3 linked regions of the Drosophila melanogaster genome follow. The protein of the gene in region 1 interacts with the protein of each later gene in a pairwise test. Each region holds a gene or a part of one and is shown in the gene's direction. Other genes may lie near its edges.

Region 1 (10,249 bases):
GATGTGGCTTAGTCGTTCTCCAAGTGCCCGCAATCGTCCCTCAAAAGATTCAAGGAAGGTGCGCTCCTGCTGTCTAGCTGCCTTCCAAACGCCCAGTCCGATGCCGACCACATGGATATAGGCGGGCTTACCAGCCTTAAATGCTCTGTCCTGTGCCTCCAAGAGCAGGGTGTCGAAACTGATGGCATATCGCTTGCGCATTACCTGGTGATCGAAGATGCCCTGAGAAACCTCTTCGAAACGCGTAGTATCATACGGAGTGTCGGCGTAAATGAAGTCCCTGGGCTCCTCGTAGAACTCGCGCCAGATTCTGCGCAAATCTGATGCAGGTGTGACCGTCTCGCTGGATATCTGTTCCAAATCGAAACCGTAGCCATTGGCCTCAGTATTTTGGGTTTTAGTAATCATGATATCCTGGTACTCCATCACATCGGGACGCTCGAAACGAGCTCCAATTAGTCCAATCACAACGCCCTCCCGTTCGATAGTGTCCTTATTCTGCAGCACCTCACCCCCATTGACCCTACTGCCATTGTTAATGAACTCCGAGTGGCAGGACACGTAGAGCAGGGCGGACAGCTTGATCTCGTCGTAGCTGAGCACCGAGGTCAAAGTGAGGGGTTCCTTTTCGGCGGGCGTACCCACTGCCTCGAAGCCCTCGTTACCAATATTTCCCTGCATTGTACGGTAATAGTCGTTAGCGCCAAAGAACCACACACATCTCTTCGCCAGCAGGCGCTGCACAAGGTCAACCACAGTCATGTCCTTGTAGATGGCCTTCTCCTGCTCGCTGCCTGTAAAACGATGACCAGAAAATATAAATTCTTTCGATTGTGATTGTACCCACCGAACGTGAGCTTGTGCTCTAAGAAGCTGATAAAGAGTAGGAGGGTCCGTTCGTGAATCACCGGATAGGCGGATGCGATTTGTTCCCGTATGCGGTCACTTCGATCTTCCGGCTGTGCCTTCACTCGGCAGGAATCGATGCCAAACTAATGTGGGGGGATTATATCAATGTCAGAAGACAATTTTGCGAAACCAATTCCAATGAGTATACCTCGGCGGGAGACTGCTCCGAAATAGCTTTGAAATTATCGAGATCCACCGAAGCGTCCGGCTTTGCCATTTGGCCACATTCTTGAAGCATCCGCTGAGTGAAAGCATTTTCCGGCAGATTTGTACGTTTACCAGGCCATATGATAATAGATTTTCCGCACAAACATGCCAATTTGGGACGTTGGGAGAGCATATAAAGAAAAGATCTCATCGCACTTTTTGGAGTCACTTTTAGGAGTCCGGACAAAAAAGTTCGCCGCTGATAGGAATATATGTCAACTGTCACTGGACGATCCAGTGCTGCACACCGACGTCAGATTTAATAACTTATTTCCACTGTCACATTAACTACCCAACACTCAAAAAGATTTGAAACGAATTTAATATAGCTTCTGAAAAGTTGTTTTATTTCCATTCAGATATTTCGAAATTATTATAGAATCCATTTCCATTTCGAAGTTGCAAACAAACTTTTCTCTTGTCAACCTACATTTATTAGAAAACAAATGGTTCTTATCAATTTAGTTCGAAAGTTCACAAGTGTCTCTTCCCCCCTTGAATGTGTGTCTGAAAATATTTGCTGTTCTGTTTCCATTAAGAGATATTTGGTAATTAAAAAAAAATATATATATTAATTTCTCTAATATAGCAATCTCTGTTAATAATTCTCGAAACAGAAACATGATCGACATACTTTCAAGCACTAATTACTTTTTACAAGGTATTTTATTTAAATTACAAAAGGATGTTAATCATTTAAATTAAATCTGAGACTGCAACGCATTGCGCACACATTTCCCCCAGAGCTTCGTGTGCCGCCTTCCTTTGCTACTTCCATCCTGGTTTTCCGCTCGGGATTACACGACGCGCTTGACCTCGAAGAAGCGTTTCAGGTAGTACACCTGGCCCACTGTCATCAGGACCAGGACGAGGGCTTCGAAGGTGGACCACAGCACCACTCGCGAGTTGGTGTTCTCGTTCACCGAACGATGGATCTTGTCGCGCACCTGAGGGAGTAAAGAAATTGGAGGATTAGTCGTGGATTACTTCACAAATAATGTCAATACTGATTATAACCGATGGTGAAAACATGAGTGTTTGAAAATCGCTACTAGTTATTGTTTATGTGGCAGCTAGCAGCTCCATTCCCTCGAACAAGTCTACCGACTCCGCTCTTAAATCTTGCGACGTGGATCTGTACAAGTAATGCTGGAGGCATGCCAGACTATGTGGCAATAGTTACTCGATTGCTCCCATATTCCATGTACCCCTAATTCTGCTACATGTTAAACTCTTCCAAAACCCCCAATCATGATTATGTGGCAGCTGGATGCTCCATCTTCACCTCGTCTCTTCACTCACATGCATGTACTCCTGTTCGTGCTTGACACTGGTCAGCGTGCCGGAGAGCTCCCGAATCATGTCCTCCAGCTTGGTGTGGCCCACCTCCTCCTCGCCGGGTGCTCCGGGCGCACGTTGCGGTGCGTCACCCACGTCGATGGAGAACATGACCAGCTTGGGGGTCATGCTGCTGCGTTCGTTGTTGAAGCACACGGTGTAGGTTCCCTTGGCGGGGGCCACAAAGGTGTACTTGCCGGACGACTCCTTTTCGCTCTCGTGCATCACATGGTTATCCGGGCCGCTGATCTTGATGTCCACGTCTAGGAAGCCACCGTCGATCACCTCGAAGGTGACGCCTGTAAAGTCACCATCATTTTATCAGCATAGATCCCTTGTCAATTGACCGAAAATCCATATCGCTCACGTACCAAACTTGGTGCCGCCTTCGACGTTCTCGAAGAAGCACTCCTCATTGTGGGCGTCCACGCTGACGATGAAGGCGTGGCTGGTGCGGCACAGGATCAGCAGGCTGCCCACAAGGAGCAGCACCTTGGCGAGTGTCGATTCCATCGTTTGTCTTAGTACTTTTGGCCTGGTTTTAATCGCTATTAAACGCACTGCAGCCACGTAGTTGTAGTCGATTCGATATACTCCGATAGATGTAGACAAATAGGGCATATCGAAGAACAGCAGTTTCCGATAGATTCGGCATCGATAGGTGCACGCGACACGCGATACCGAATTTTTAACGGATCACTACAAAAAACTCACAACTCATAAAAATTCAAAAGCAACATGAATGCCGCGAAATGTTTCGGTTAAAGTATTGGATATCGTAACTAATACATTACTTTATTTATGTGCGTACCTATATGAAAAACTCTTGGTGCATTCCATCACAGTTAGTTAAAGTGTTCTAGTATTTTTGTGCTATGTGTTAATCGGCGACTATCGACAGTTGCCCACCATTAGGAAACAGAAAGCTAAAAAAAAAAATGCAAAAATTGGCCAGAATTTCGGCATAAATAATAGTATCCCTTGCAAAACTTGCAAGCTGCGTGGCAGGACGAGCAGCTGACCACCAGATCGTCTTGAGGATTCAACATCAGGAACAAAGGTTTCACATTGGACGCATTTGCAAAAACCGAAAGGGAAAACTGCCAACTCCCACACACAAAAAAAAAGGAAAAAAAAAATCATCAGCACGGAAAGTAAAAGGTCAAGTGGTCAACCGAAATCTGGGTAATCCGGGGGAATCTTTGCAAGAATGCAGCAGAACTCGGCCAGCAATCCCTTCGCCATGTCCACATATGTGGAGCGGCCCCAAATGGGACTGGACGTCGAATTCGGAGCGGATCCTGCCAGCGGAGCAGCTTTCTTCCAATCCGATGGACGCAAGCATGATGATCTCAAGCAAATGTTGGACAGCAACAAGGATGGACTAAAGCTGGAGGCCATGAAGCGCATCATTGGCATGATTGCCCGCGGACGGGATGCCAGTGATCTGTTCCCGGCAGTCGTCAAGAATGTGGTGTCCAAGAATATCGAGGTCAAGAAGTTGGTCTACGTCTATTTGGTGCGATACGCCGAGGAGCAGCAGGACTTGGCCCTGCTATCCATTTCCACATTTCAGAGGGCGCTCAAGGATCCCAATCAACTTATTCGCGCCTCGGCTCTGCGAGTGTTATCCTCCATAAGGGTCAGCATGATTGTGCCAATCGTAATGCTGGCCATTCGGGATAGCGCCGCCGATTTGAGTCCATATGTGCGGAAAACAGCGGCACATGCCATCCCCAAGTTGTATTCTCTGGACGCGGATCAAAAGGATGAACTGGTCATGGTCATTGAGAAGCTTTTATCGGATCGCACTACTCTAGTGGTGGGATCAGCGGTGATGGCCTTCGACGAGGTGGGTCTGCAGCTAAAGTAAAACATTTATCCTCTATATACGACGGATCTTTATTCGTAGGTTTGTCCGGAACGTGTAGATTTGATACACAAGAACTACCGCAAGCTGTGCAATTTCCTGCTGGATGTGGACGAATGGGGTCAGGTGATCATCATTAATATGTTGACCCGCTATGCGCGCACTCAGTTCGTTGATCCCAATGCGGATGATGAGGATCTGGTCAACGATGGCCTGGGCGAAACGCCCGTTAGTGAACGCTTCTACGACGAATCCTCGCACTCCTCTTCCCACAGCGATGATGGCAGTAGCGATGACGAAAAAAACAAGTCGAGTACGAACAATAAAAACAATGGCGGAGGAAATGGCAGTAGAACACCCAGTTCTCCGAGCAACAGCTACCACATCGATGTGGATCACCGCCTGCTGTTGAGGCAAACGAAACCATTGCTCCAATCGCGAAATGCCTCCGTGGTGATGGCAGTGGCGCAGCTCTATCATCATGTGGCTCCCAAGAACGAAGTGCAATTGATTGCCAAGGCGCTGATACGACTGCTGCGATCGCATAAGGAGGTTCAGAGCGTGGTCCTCAATTGCATTGCCTCGATGTCCACCAAACGAAAGGCGATCTTTGAGCCGCACCTCAAGTCGTTCTTTGTGCGCACCAGCGATCCCACGCACATAAAGCTTCTCAAGCTGGATATTCTCACCAATCTGGCCTCGGCGGGCAGTATTTCGCTCATTCTGCGCGAATTTCAAACCTACATCTCCAGCAGCGATCGTTCGTTTGTGGCGGCCACGATTCAGGCCATTGGACGATGTGCATCTAGCATTAAGGAGGTTACCGAGACCTGCTTGAGTGGCCTGGTTCATCTGCTGTCCAATCATGACGGTGCGTTAAGCTTTCTTTTAGCCATTTGTATTTTAATTTTATAAGTATTCCGTTATTCCATTTAGAACACGTGGTGGCCGAGAGCGTGGTGGTGATTAAGCGTCTTCTGCAAACGAAAGCCGCCGAGCACTTTGAGATTATCACCCAAATGGCCAAACTGATCGATTATATCAATGTGCCCGCAGCTAGGGCAGCCATCATTTGGCTTATAGGCGAATACAACGAGAAGGTGCCGCTGATTGCCCCGGATGTGCTGCGCAAAATGGCCAAATCGTTTGTCGATGAGCAGGATGTGGTGAAGCTGCAGGTCCTAAACTTAGGCGTTAAGCTCTATCTGACCAATCCGGAGCAGACATCGTTGCTGTGTCAGTACGTCTTTACGCTGGCTCGCTATGATCCCAACTACGATGTACGCGATCGTGCCCGTTTTCTGCGGCAAATCATCTTTCCGGCGAGCGGAACGAGCTCGGTGCTCAGCCAGCATGCCCGCCAAGTATTTCTCGCCAGCAAACCGGCTCCGGTGCCGGAGAGTAAATACCGGGATGGCAATAACTTCCAGTTAGGATCGTTGTCTCACTACCTGAACATGCCAGCGGCTGGCTACAAGGAACTGCCCGCCTTTCCGGTGATTCCACCGGATTCATCGGTACGCAATATAGCTGGATTTATGCAGGACAAGCTGCCGGGTGAAGACTCGCCATCCGGACATTCAAAGGATAAATCCGGCCGTGAAGGCGGTAAGGAAAAGGGTGCTGGTGGCGAGAAGGGCTTCCTCTCTGAGTCGGACGACAAGTCTTCCGCTTACTCGGAATCAGGCAGCAGCAGTGGCAGTGGCACCAGCGACAGTGAATCCGATAGCGATGGCAGCGGGAGCAGCGATGAGGAGGAGGAGGAGGTGCAAAAGCAGCAGCCGACCAAGGTTTCCTCGGTGAAGGAGCGGCTTATCGATGCTGGAAGCAATGAGCTGGCCGCTACTTCTTCGCCTGTAAAAGCAACTATAAACAACAATAACAATGCGAGAGGTTCGTCAGGAACATCGGACAGCGAGGATTCATCAGCGTACAGTGGCAGTAGTAGTGATGACAGCGCTTCCGGTAGCGATAATGAAGTGAAAAAGAACGAAACGAAAACGGACACAGGCACAAAGCCGGAGAAGTTGAAAGAGAAGCACGAGAAACAGCCGGAGCAAACGGCTGTCAAGAGCAATCTGGACCTGCTACTCGATCTGGATGACATTCCGCCCATTGGTCCCGTGATGACGCCCTCGTTGGGAGGATTCCTGACGCCTGGTAAGGTGATGCGCATCTCTAAATTGGCCTCTTTATATAATAATTCTTCAATAGGCACACCAATGATGGCTGGACAGGCGGCGCCACTGCAGCCGCAGCACGCCCGCAATCGGGTGGAATTGGTGGGTCCCTCGCACATCGAGTTCAAGCACAAGGAGCTGCTTAACAAGGTCAGTGGCCATGGACTGCATTTGGCCTACCGTTTCACCCGCTCCCCGCATCTGTACTCCTCGAGCATGTGCTCCATTGAGCTGCAGTTCCAGAATCGTGGCGAAAAAGAGATTACGGCCATTCGTCTCGGGCAAACAACTCTGCCGGCGGGCATGCAATTGAATGAGTTTGCGCCAATCACTGTTCTCCAGCCCCAACAAACAGCGAGTGGTGTGCTGGGCGTCGATTTCAATGATTCGACGCATGCTGTAGACCTGGAGCTTCTGTCAAGTGCGGGCAGTTCACGACTGCAATTGAAACCGCCGGTGGGCGAGCTGGTGAGATCCGTCCAGATCGGCGAGAGCTGTCATCGCGAGGAGCGGGCCAAGCTGCGTGGAATGAATGAGCATCAGTGCGAGTTGCGTGGCCTGAGGCAGGACCTAATCGATGTGGTCGCATTGCGGCAAAAGGTTTTCGAGTCCATCAACGTGGCGCATACGCACAGCTCTTCCAGCGGTCAGCTACACTGTTTCGCCGGCCAAACCCTGAGCTCCAAAAGCCTCGTGCTACTCACCCTCGATTGGAAAACAGAGGATGCCCTCACGCTGCTGGTAAACTGCGAGAAAATGGTCATTGGATCCATGGTGCTCAACGAGCTGCGCAATGCTCTGCAGCTCAGTTTCGCCATGTGAGCGATGGACACGAAAGCGAACAAGACGAAAGCGAGCAGCGAACTAACTTGAGGAGTGGAATCCCCTGGAGCAGGGCTACTCAACTGAGAATAAGGCAAAGCCGCCTCACTACGTAAACATAGCATTCATATTTAGCTATACACTTGTAAACGGGCGGGGAGAACGTAATCTTTGAAATTAGCTGATAACATTAGCTGAGATTACAGGTGTTTTAAATTCCATTTTCGAGAGATTATATGTAAATGTGCAGTGTAACAGATGCAACTTAAGTGTTCAAGTGGGATCGAAATCCAAAACTAATTTAAATTGCAATTTCAACTGTAATTATTACATATTCTTTAACTTGTTGAAAACTGAATGAAAAGTGATGCAAACTATTGTGTAAATGCTACAAAACTATATTTATTGTTATACACATTCGCAAATTCTTAATGAAACTTATTGAAATGGGAAACACACAACTTCCTATATATTTGTATCCGCTTATACTGAGATATTTTGCATAAAAGAGTCACCATTTCCTTTTATGAATGGATGAACACAACATGAGATTAGTGTAGCTTTCATATCCAAATCGAAAATTATTCAAGGATTACCAACCGCCCCGCCCAAATATAAATGAAACATGATCCTAACGCTTTTAATATTCCTATATACAAACTGCAACCACAAACAATTCCAGATGAAATGAGATGTTACAATTGATTGAACTCGAATCGTTGCCGATCCAAACAAATCCTATCCTCCAATCCATCCTACTTAGCTAGGCGTGTGTGTAATGTGTGTATGAGTAATCGAAACGTATTTGTAAAGTGTTTGATGTTGTAAATCTGTTGCCTTCGTGCTCTATGCGGCCTTCTTCAAAACGTAGCAAAGACAAACGAATATCGAATCTATATATTATATATTATATTCATACAATAAACAGCGCAAATTCTGGCAAATTAAAGTGAACAAATGAAACGTATTCTAATAAAGAAACAAATCAATCTGTTAATATGCCTGAAACAAATAAGCTGAATCTCCGCATTGAAAAGCTGAAATAAAAGCTTACATTTTAAAATTGAGAACGTCTTACCTGTTTTGGATAAACGAATCAAGTTTAATACACGCTCGCACATGTCAAGTAAAAATGCTTTTTTCAAAAGTTTTCAATTATTTTGATGTTTATTCACGCTTGTTCTTGTTACTTTCTCCACTCACCAAACAGAATATAAGAAGTCAGCAAGGACAAACTTTCAAATGCAAAAGAATCGAATCGAATTCTAATTAGTTCAATTCCTTAAAATTCGAGTTGATTTCTGCATTTATGTATCAATTTCCTGCTGCTGTCGCTTGAAAGTCGGGATTGCTTCAAAATAGCTCCGTGGGAAATTATAGAAGGAGGTTGGACATACTGACATGCTGGGTTATAGAACATACATAACTCATTCCTCAAATCCTACGCTGCTTTCTCCAAATCCAACTGTGTTTTAGGTGTCGGTGTCGGTGTAGTTGTAGCTGTATTTCCTTGTGTTCTAATTTGGGTTCTGCACAATTAAAAAGCTCAATTTCATGCTTATCAATATAAACGAGTTAGTTAGATCGCTAGGTTAGTAATGTTTAGTTTAGTTTTGGATTCGCTGCTGCACTTAAAGATCTCAAGTAGTAGTTTTAGTAGTTGTAGTTTTCGGTTAGGCTAGGCTTTAAGATCAACGGCTTGAAAGTTCCGAGTGATAAGTGAAGAAATATAGGGTTTTGGGGATGCTATATAATGTATGATTAGGGGATAGATAGCATGTATGTATGTACGAATAGTACGAGTATGTACGTATGCATTAATGTAATTTTTGGGTAATATGGCATGGGTATATGTATGCTGTAATAATGGGTTGTGAGTAGTTCTTGACAGGCATATAGTAGAGCGTTTGTATATAGTGTCCTGGGGTAGTATCGTTCTCTTCTCGTTTTCGCTATTCTGTATACACGTTATATAATATGCCACGGCCTTCGTTCGCTTAACTTCATATAAAACTAGTTTTTTTTTTACCATTTTTTTTTTGTTTTGTTTAGTTTTCTTTCTTTTAAATGTATATGCAAGATGTATATATCGATTTATGCAGTATGTGTGTATGTCTAAGGATGATTTTCAATCACTTATTGTTACGTACGGTGTTTGGTATAACATGCTTCGCTTGGACTAGCCCGATGGCCTCTTTCTCCACCTCTCCCGTTTTGTCTACCTTCAGATTTATTAGATCCGGCGGATCGTTCAAATCGTTCTTTCCTTCCCTACTCTCTAACTTCAATAACATATAAAGCATTGGTTTGGTTTTGGTTTTCATCTTTGGGTGTCTTAAATGGGCAACGAAATAGTTATCGCTTATCGCACAAACGATATTTTCGATTATGGCTCGATTACCGAGACTATATAATCGATAAGCATCGATAGCTGCGAAGCGAAGCATTGAGAGGGCCTAAAACGGACGGATTGCTACCGTTAGTCAACGGCTAACCGTTCGATGCCTGTTGTTAGTGCATTTAAGTCGTTAAGTTTTTGTTTTTATCACTCTCTCTTCCTTTTTGTTTGTTATCGTTTTTTTTTTGTTTTTTAATTATCGTTATCGTTATGCATAAGTATTAGCCTGAGGTGCTCCGAATCGAGATCAGTTGTGAGGTCTAGAGCAATTAACTATTATGGTGTTATATCCTAGTTATCCCTTGGAAATCTGGGCTTCCACAGTTTACCTCCTTTCACCGATCTTTCACTCTTTCTTGTGATTTTCTGTGTATTGTTTTGGGTGTTCTTTTTTCCTTTTTTTTTGTTTTGCTTTGTTTTTTTTTTTTGATTACGCCATTATTATGCAGTTATATATGCACTTACTCAGGAATAGCTGTACTGTGTAGCATACAGCTATTCCTGTGCGAGTGTAAGTGCCTTTTT
Region 2 (5,381 bases), on another chromosome or scaffold:
ATGCAAACAAAAATATTGCATGAGCTTTTATTGTAGTTTTTAGTTTCGGGTTTGTGGGTGTGTTACATACTAATAAAAAGCATAGAATTCATAGAATTGTGAGACAGTGTCCGGAGGCGAGATCTACTCCAATTTGGCCAGGATGTCGGACTCGCGGAAGAGGAACAGCTCCTTCTGGTCACCCTCTAGGTTCACCTTGGTGCCACCGAATTCGGGCAGCAGAACACGATCGCCCTCCTTCACGCCAATGGGAATGTGGTTGCCAGTGGACTGCGGATGAAGTGGGATGTTCAGTGATTAGATGACCATCTCTGCATTGATAATGGCGAAATACTCACGGCATTACGGGTGCCAGGGCCTACGGCCAGAACGGTGCCCTCAAGTACTTTGCCCACCGCTTTCTCCGGCAAAACAATGCCTCCTTTCGTCTTGGTCAGCGCCTCGGCACGCTGGATTAGGATGCGGTCCAGCATGGGGATGATCTTCTTGATAGCGGCGGCCTGAGGATCATTAAAAAAGACCCAACAATTAACCCATGTTTCAATGTTTCATGTTTCTCTCATTGATTACACAACAGCCCGGCGAATGGGATGTGGACCGAAAGCCGTGGAACCTTCTCGAAAAACCGATATCATCCTTCGATTTCAAACTGTCTTCTAAACCTCATATGGGGCAATGCACTTTTAACTTACCATTTTAATTCTTAAATGCAAACTGGAGCGGTTGATAAAAGTTAATGAGTGAACTTTTTACTCAACTACACGTGCCGGCGTAACTATTCTCGCTAGATGCGGGACTGCTTATCGTCGGTGTGACCAGGCTATTTCACGGATATAACATTGAGAAATAATTTTTTCTGTTCGAATACACTGAGAGAAGTCAATGCAAAAATTAATAGTTGTGTATAACTTTTAAAATGGTAATAAACTTTTCGCCAAGTAATTGCCGAGTTGATTTCCTATAAAACATGAAGATGAAAATGAGTCTGGTGGGTGGACTTCCATAATAACTTGTATACCAATTTCAGGAATTACTCCTTTTATATGCAATTTAAACATATTAATTTAATTTCCATTAATTTATAATAAACATGTTGTGCAATTTTCTGTTCTCATCTTTGTTGAGCTAAATAATCGTTTTTTAAGAAATTAAATCAGAAGCCCAGAAATCTTCTGGGCTTTACTGGTGTTTTAATTTTTTCAAATTTACTAATATTAAAATATAATATAATATAAAATAAACATAAAACAGAATTGTTTGTTTACTTCCTCGAAATTAGGTATGTTCAAACCAAGGAGTTGCTATTGATACTAGCGATTTAAATCGATTGACTCTGGCAGCGGATTGTTCACACTACACCCTGTTGCAAAGTGCAAGACAATAAAGACAAGCAACAAAATAATTGAAAAGTGTGGCATTCCTGAGAAAAATTAAAAAATTTCAGAATTTTCTAAACATCTTGTTTTTAAGAAGGGAAAATAGCACGAAACAACTATCGATAGCTGCTGACACTCCCACCACTAAATCTGATTGGGAGATTTATTTGAGTCACCGTTTTGCCTTGTTTACATTTAATGTAATTTGTACCAGATAAATCTTATTTGATTTTACTCAAGTCAAGTGGCACGATGTGCTTTTGTTGTTCACTTAGTTTACAGTTTGTGACTGCTATTTTCGTTTAGTTATATTCGCCAATAAGCCAGCAATTAACCCACTAAAATGTCTGATCGTCGTGGCACAAAAGTTGGAACTGGTACGAAGGCTTTGGAGTATTGGTGCCGAGTTGTGACCCAAGGATATAATGGGGTCAAGGTGGAGAACATGACCACTTCCTGGCGAAATGGACTTGCCTTCTGCGCCATAATACACCACTTTCGGCCGGATCTTATAGATTTCGACCGACTTAAAGCAGACGATATCTATGAGAACAACGATTTGGCCTTTACAACGGCCGAGAAATATTTGGGAATTCCCGCACTGCTCGATGCAGCTGACATGGTTTCGTATGAAGTACCTGATAGACTCTCCATACTAACGTATTTATCCCAGTTTTACAAGGTGCTCGGCAAGAGCCTGAAGCACCCGAAGCCAGAGGAGCCACTTGGCGAAGAGAGTGAGCCACCGCAAAAGGTGATGCACATTGTTGGGATGCCTCGACGTGATAAGTGCCAGAAATGCAACCTTCCTGTTTTTCTCGCCGAAAGGGTCCTTGTCGGCAAACGGGCTTATCATCGCACATGCTTAAAATGTGCAAGATGTTCGTCATTGCTCACACCCGGGAGTTTTTATGAAACGGAGGTCAATAACATATACTGTTGCGAGACTTGTCCCGATGAAGAAAGTGAACCGGAATCTGACATTTTAAAGTTAAAGACAACCACTACTGATTCTCCGAATGATAAACAAATGGTGGCACAAAGTTCTGATTACTCTGAAGCTGAAGATAAACAAGAAGACCTGGAAGATAATGATATACGTACTACTGATAAGCCTGAAAACTTCCAACCGCCGTCCAACAAAGATGAACAAAATAATGAACTAACTATTAATCCGGTAAACCCTATATTATCAGAGGAGCGTAAAATCTCTTTTATTCCACTAGACGAAGAAGATGGTGGCCTTATTGAACAATATAATAAATCAACAACTCCTGTAAAGCCCGCTATACCAGAGAAACCAAAAGTCTCTACTCTTCCACTAGACGATGAACAACATGCTGGCGTTGAACAAAACAATGATCTGGCGGTTAGTCCGGAAAATGACATTCCAAAAGAGAAACTTAAGATTTCTTCGGTCTCAATATATCTTGAAGATGACCGCCTTGTTGTAGATGCAATACATCCGGATAATTTAGATAAACAAGAAGCTTTGAACAATACATCAGACGCACTCATTCCAGAATCACAGGAAGCACCGATTCCTGAAAATAACACTCAAGTAGCCATTAAACCAGAAGACCATATAAGCCCGCGTAAAGAAAATAAAATTTTCTCAAACACAGAAAGCTGCTCTAAGCAGGAAGGTGTTCTCCCAAAACAAATGGATCTCGAGTCTCCCAAGGACAAGGTAATTGAGACAAAAGCATCTGAAACTGACTATCCAGAGGATCTAAATCCCTTTAAAGATGATGACTCATCTAAAGGTGCCAACCCATTCGACAGCTCTGATGATGAAGTGGAGCTTCTTAAAGCCATTCCAGCCCAACAAAGCAAAGGAAAAGTTGTACCGCCCCGTCCACCGCCACCTAAAATTGGCCTTTCATCCATCTCCAATCCGTCAGAGAAACCACATTCCAGCCCTACACTTTCGCATGGGAAAAAAATGCCGATGCCAACACCGAGAATATCTATATCAAAAACCCAGACTCCAGCAAAACCAATGACGCATCAAGGCCAGAAAAGTAGTATTTCCTCTTCGTCTTCGGAGCATTTGAATAGCATAAGAACGTTCGATCGCGGAGCAGATGACCGTGGCTCAAGCATCTCCTTGCCATCTGCAAATGGGCCTCGCAAGCCACTTCGCGCCTCAGTGGGGAGTCCGCTGCGAAGCGAAGAATCGAGTCCCACTACCAGTCTTAGCTCTATTACCTCTCCGATGCGGAAGAAGCGCCAGGCACCTTTGCCCCCAATACAAACGGACTTTGACAGTGATCCTGGATTTTCAAAATTGTCCGACGAACAAAAGGCATTGTTGCACACTCAGCTTAAGGCCCCAAATCTGGGTGATTCAACCAGAAGACTAATACCACTTGACCAGAGTCTGCTATCCGATGAGGCAACCGAGTCGAGTAATTACGACGAGAGCTTAAGTACATCCAATGCCGACGAGGAGGTAAATGTGGTATACCGACGCATTTTGGTGCCGCCAACTCAACCCGAAAACACTGTTGAACGTAGCAAGGAGGATCAAAAATCGCCTATCGTGTATAACGACTTCGATAGAAACGTAAGCCCATTGGGGCACAATAAATCCACTCATGGGAAATGGAAGAGGCGAAAGGGACCAGCACCAGCGGTTCCAATACCACCGCGCAAAGTCTTACAAAGGCTTCCGCTGCAAGAAATTCGCCACGAGTTCGAAATTATTGCGGTACAGCAGCTGGGTCTTGAGAAACAAGGCGTTATTCTGGAGAAAATGATCAGGGATCGCTGTGAGCGTTCCTTAGATGCCACCGATACTGATGGTCCCGAATCCGCAGAAGTGCTAACCAACTCAAAGGAAGTGGAAGATCTTATATTGCAACTGTTCGAGCTGGTCAACGAGAAAAACGAATTGTTCCGCAGACAAGCGGAACTGATGTACCTTCGACGTCAGCATCGCCTGGAGCAGGAGCAGGCGGACATAGAGCATGAGATACGAGTATTAATGGGGCAACCGGAGCACAACAAAACCGATTCGGATAAAGCCCATGAGGAAGTATTAATCAATCGCCTTGTGAAGGTGGTTGAAATGCGTAACGAAGTAATTGATAGCCTAGAGACTGACCGAGTTCGCGAGGCGCGAGAGGATATGAGCATCAAGAATCGGCTTCATATATACAATTCTGAGCGCGAGGAACCACCAGCACATCCGAGAAGCGCTGACAAATCATCCAAAAAGCTGTCTAAAAAGGAACGAAAAAAACTTAAGGAGGAAAATAAGCTGGGCAAGGGCAAAAAGTCGGACCTCGACAAGGACGTCGATGAGTCCGAACAGGCACCAGCTTTGGAAAAGGTTAAAAAGAAGCGAAACTTGTTCTTTTTGAAAATGTAGTTGGGGGCTGGTTGAGTTGAAGTGTTTACGCATCGAACAATTGAAATTTATTTTATATAAATTTGTAACCTATTAAGTTTCTATTGCCATATGTGAGCATTTCAATAAATAAAGTATATATTTTCCTTTAGCAACAGAACTTTGGATTGAGAACGACGAATGCGAATCATATTACTATATAACTCTGGGATAATAATTTTTAAAATAAAACAGAAGCGAATTAATCAGTTACAAATTCTAAATCTTAACCTTAAAAAACACAAAGCTCCCACACATTTTAATTATTACTTCGGTTCTGTGATATATTATTATTATGTTTAGTTAGTGGAGCTAGTATGTTTTTGCGTAGAGCTATCGATAAGAATCGTTGAATGGTTAATGTCAGGCGCTGGAAATTATAACATCCCTAAACCGATAAGACCCATTAATAGAATGTATCAGTAATAAGATCGTACAACAGCGCAAACAATCGCGGTACGCTGATTGACTTCCCCTAGAAAACCAACTTCAAATTGCAACACTATCATTAACAATAATGAATCGGGTTAAAAGAATATCTAATTACTTTGACTCTATGCTACCCCTGATCGATAATATTTTGCAAGTAGTGAATCAGATCTTCGATGATT
Region 3 (3,848 bases), on another chromosome or scaffold:
TGTTTTATATGCGTCATTCTAGCCTGGGCTTCTCGTGATGTTCTCGCTAACAAAACGGAAAATCCGCTGCTAATTGATCAAGTGGCTATAAATCAACAACAATGGTTCACATTCATTGCGCTGAAGGAAAGTGAAATGCAACAGAAAATAGTGAGGATCGAAAGATCGATAGAAGAACGATTGATGGCCATGCAAAGCAAGTTGGCATACGCACTGAACGAGCTGCAGACCATAATGGGCAACCAGAGTGTGGAGACTCTCGAGAAACTACGAATCTCGCACAGGATTAATCCGGCGCTTTTCCAGAGAATGGGCACAAGACGCTTCTACATTGAGAAGGAAAACAAACAAAATTGGTTTGGCGCCTCAAACACCTGTCGTCAATTGGGCGGTCACATTGCCACCATCAGGGATGAGCAGGAGTTTAATGAGATCTTCTCAAGAGCGCCGGCCGGCGTCTTTTGGATAGATATGAATGCTATGTTCAAGAACGGCCTTTTTGCATCATCACTCACCGGCAGATCGCCGCCGTTCTTTAAGTGGAAGAAAGAAGAAAGGGGCAATAAGTTCGATTGCGTTAATGTATACAACAAGGAAATGTACAATGAAAATTGTTTCAACACCCATTTGTTCATATGTCAAGCCGAGCAGTGGGATTGATGCGAATGCGAAAATAATAAATTAAGTTATTTTCATTTTGCATCTCGGCAATTTACCGACAGCTTTTAATAAAGTTATGAGCCTACTGTCTTTTTTATTTTACTAGCCCAAAAATGAAGTACATAACTGTTTTCTCAGCCAAGAGGATCATTAAGATTATTGGGTAATGAAAATTAAAATATTTTCCCTTAAGTACAAAACCAGGCCAATCCATATGGGGTTTCCATCAAGTGCCCAGAAAGCGGTGCTTGGTATTTCAAAATGCCTTACACACATGACGTGTCCACGTTCTGTGCAGAAATAAGGGCGGCCAGTGCCACGCCCCTCCACAAGGAAGCCACCCAAATGGTGACAAAAATGCTTTTGATTTGTGGGCCATTCGCACACCCATAGCCACCCACGCTTATTAGAATCCTGCCATTGTGGCAGCCAAAGTGCAACTAGCAGAGACAGATAGCAAACATCCAACAATGTGGAGCAGAGCGCAATTTATGACCAGGGGCGAGATTTCGAAACGGACTAATAGGATTGCGGCTCCAATTTTTGGGGCTTTTCATTTCAGATACCTCCGCACATACGATGCAAAATTATATCTCGAGTTTTCACTTACGTTATTATACGCTCTAGTGTGCAAGTCTTTAGTTTTTCCAATTATTACTATTCAATAATACTAATATACCAATATTGTATTTTGTTATAATAATAAGATGCTATTACCGTTACATTATTAACAAATGGGTAGTTGGAATTCCCCTTTCAAAAATAAAGATATAAAAAAAATCGATCTCTATGTTGTAGGGAACTAGTTCATTGAGATTAGTTGCAGAACTCATTGGAATTATTCAAAACTCATTATTCAAAATATAGATAAATAAATATAGAAGATATATACTTAAATGTGTTATTTTGGAGTGACTTCAGTTAAGTTCGAATTATTTAATTGAATTTACCGCGCATTAGTGTTACCATTTTACACTTACACCATCAAAATATTTCTAGTATTTTCAATCGGTCGTGAACTGGGCAATGAAAAGCCATCTGGCAACACTGTTCCATGACGCTTGAATTTTAGCGGACAAACTCGAAAAGAAATAGCAAAAAGACGACGCTTGCTACGAAAATAGTTATTCCTCGCAAAAACCCTGTAACGTGTAAACAAAGGCCGCTGCCACGATGCCGCGCACCAAGATACCAAAGAACTCCAAACGCAACCGCGAGGTGGCCAATCGCGAAGAGAAGGTGCGCCTGTACGAGCTGAAAATGGATTCCCGCCTTATCAGCATCGATTCGCTGGAGACCAAGTTCCTCTCCGCCGTGGACCACCAGGTGAAGACACTGCTCGGCCAGGTGCAGAAGGAGCTGGCCAATCTGAAGATGCCCGAAGTGCTGCGCCTCTTCGAGGAACTGGACCGCTTCAGCGACTTCAAGGCCAGCGATCAGACGCAGCTGCTCGCCTCGATGTCCATGAGTGGCAGCGCCATCGAGGGCCACGCCCCCTCCGCCACTGGAAGTCGCAATGACGAAGGTTTGTTGGCCTATATATGTATGCTGTTATACCAATCTGCTGGCAAGGATGTCATCACCCGAATTACAAATGAATACCGGTTTTACATGCCAAATTGGCAAATTCCATTGTATATTCGGTATTCATCATACCCTCTTGTTGCCATTTTCACTTTTAATTTTAATCTAACTGGTGTCCGGCTTTGTGACTAACTCAACTTTGCTTTCTAACTCCGCACCGCACATTTCAATGCACGCAAAATGCATATACCCACATCCACATCCTGTGCCGGTCACTGTATCTAGGCTACCTTACAGAGGACAGCAGCATCGGTGCCAGCGGTGGGAGCATCCTGGCCGCCCACACAGGCTCCCTGCTGCGGTCCACGAAGGCCATGCGCACACCCGGACCACTGCACTCGGCGAGGGCTCGTCGAGCGCGGCGCAGTCGTTCCGCCTGCGGGGATCTCAACATATTGCACTCGGCCAAACCGCCGTCAATTTCGAGCAGCAGCAGCAGCAGCCGCAATTCGCGCAGCAAACTGCGCACACCGATGGCCTCGCGTGCGAAGGCCTTCAGTGCCGACCGCACTCCTTTGAAACAGAAGCAAATGCGCTCCGGATCGCCAACTACACCGCCGATGGCATTCCTGCGCTATCCCAAGCCCGGCGAGGTGGCACTATCCAAATACGGCAGTCCCATGGTGGCTCAAGTGTAAGTATTGATCACATACTACGTGTCGATACCAATTTGTTAAAACCATTTTTCCCACACGATAGAATGCCAGACAAGTTCGCCAATGTGAACATACCCATTCGGAACGGAGTTCTTAGCTTGCGGCCCAAAAAACTGGATGCCGACGAGGTGGAGTCAAATCTGTTGGAGAACCTGGACGAGGACACCCTTAACCAGATCAAAACGCTGCACGAGAACTTGCAGATGATTGTTAATAAGGCCAGCCAGGCGGTGTTCAAGTAGCTGTCATTTCAAACGCTTATCTAGATATAATGCTATATCATATATTTTAATACGTTTCGTTTAAGTTCAGTTTTCATTTTACTCATTTAGTTCAAGTATTTTGTCTTTATTCATAAAAATCTATCGTATTTGCATAAGTTTCAATACATGTTCATATCCAAGTGTACGGCGATTTAAATGTAATGTTTTAAATACATGCTTAATCCAAAAAAAAAAAAATGAAGCGTTCCATGATGATTACTCGCCTTCAAGCAAAACGACGGAGAATCGAAAGAGATGAGAAAGTGAGAATCCAATTTAATTCTGCAATGGATAAAGTCGATGAGATGGCCAAGTTGTTCAAGCAGGATGTGGACAACAAATTGGGTTTGCTTCAAGCCAGGACTGATGCTCGTTTGCTGCAGATGAAATGGTCGGATTTCATGGCTCTAGCAAAAACTGCTACCTTCAAATAACATCTTTCTTTTGCTAATTGCAAAAGAGGCAACCGCTTTTAAGTTCCCAGATTTCAGAAAGTGGCCAATAAAATTATGTTATGTTAAAAATGTTTAAAATGTATTTTCGCACGTTGATATGAATACAGTTTTGAATCGCTTGTTCACCAAAGAGCCCTTTGACTTTGTTAGAATTAGGCGATTAGTTGACTGGAATATATAAATCGTTAGAAATATGCCTCGCACCAAGATTACAGCTCGTCGTCAGGCCC

The links.
Region 2: the proteins of rb (region 1) and MICAL-like interact in a two-hybrid assay, tested with the Drosophila melanogaster proteins (one large-scale study listed by BioGRID).
Region 3: the proteins of rb (region 1) and borr interact in a two-hybrid assay, tested with the Drosophila melanogaster proteins (one large-scale study listed by BioGRID).

Annotation. Positions count from the first base shown.
Region 1 is NC_004354.4:4,533,721-4,543,969, reverse strand, and holds rb (ruby), read left to right. Parts: upstream 1-3,343; 5' UTR 3,344-3,664; coding exon 3,665-4,306; intron 4,307-4,366; coding exon 4,367-5,195; intron 5,196-5,260; coding exon 5,261-6,484; intron 6,485-6,538; coding exon 6,539-7,326; 3' UTR 7,327-8,335; downstream 8,336-10,249. Other genes in the region: CG3568 (uncharacterized protein), read right to left, coding at 1-794, 848-992, 1,058-1,267; CHOp24, read right to left, coding at 1,914-2,063, 2,419-2,753, 2,826-2,967.
Region 2 is NT_037436.4:13,011,476-13,016,856, reverse strand, and holds MICAL-like (MICAL-like), read left to right. Parts: upstream 1-1,524; 5' UTR 1,525-1,719; coding exon 1,720-4,752; 3' UTR 4,753-4,881; downstream 4,882-5,381. Other genes in the region: CG11267 (uncharacterized protein), read right to left, coding at 124-270, 339-500, 693-695; Cul6 (cullin 6), read left to right, coding at 5,288-5,381.
Region 3 is NT_033779.5:9,250,972-9,254,819, reverse strand, and holds borr (borealin-related), read left to right. Parts: upstream 1-1,701; 5' UTR 1,702-1,833; coding exon 1,834-2,185; intron 2,186-2,469; coding exon 2,470-2,878; intron 2,879-2,943; coding exon 2,944-3,142; 3' UTR 3,143-3,348; downstream 3,349-3,848. Other genes in the region: lectin-30A, read left to right, coding at 1-660; aust (australin), read left to right, coding at 3,812-3,848. UniProt on the Drosophila melanogaster protein: Component of the chromosomal passenger complex (CPC), a complex that acts as a key regulator of embryonic mitosis.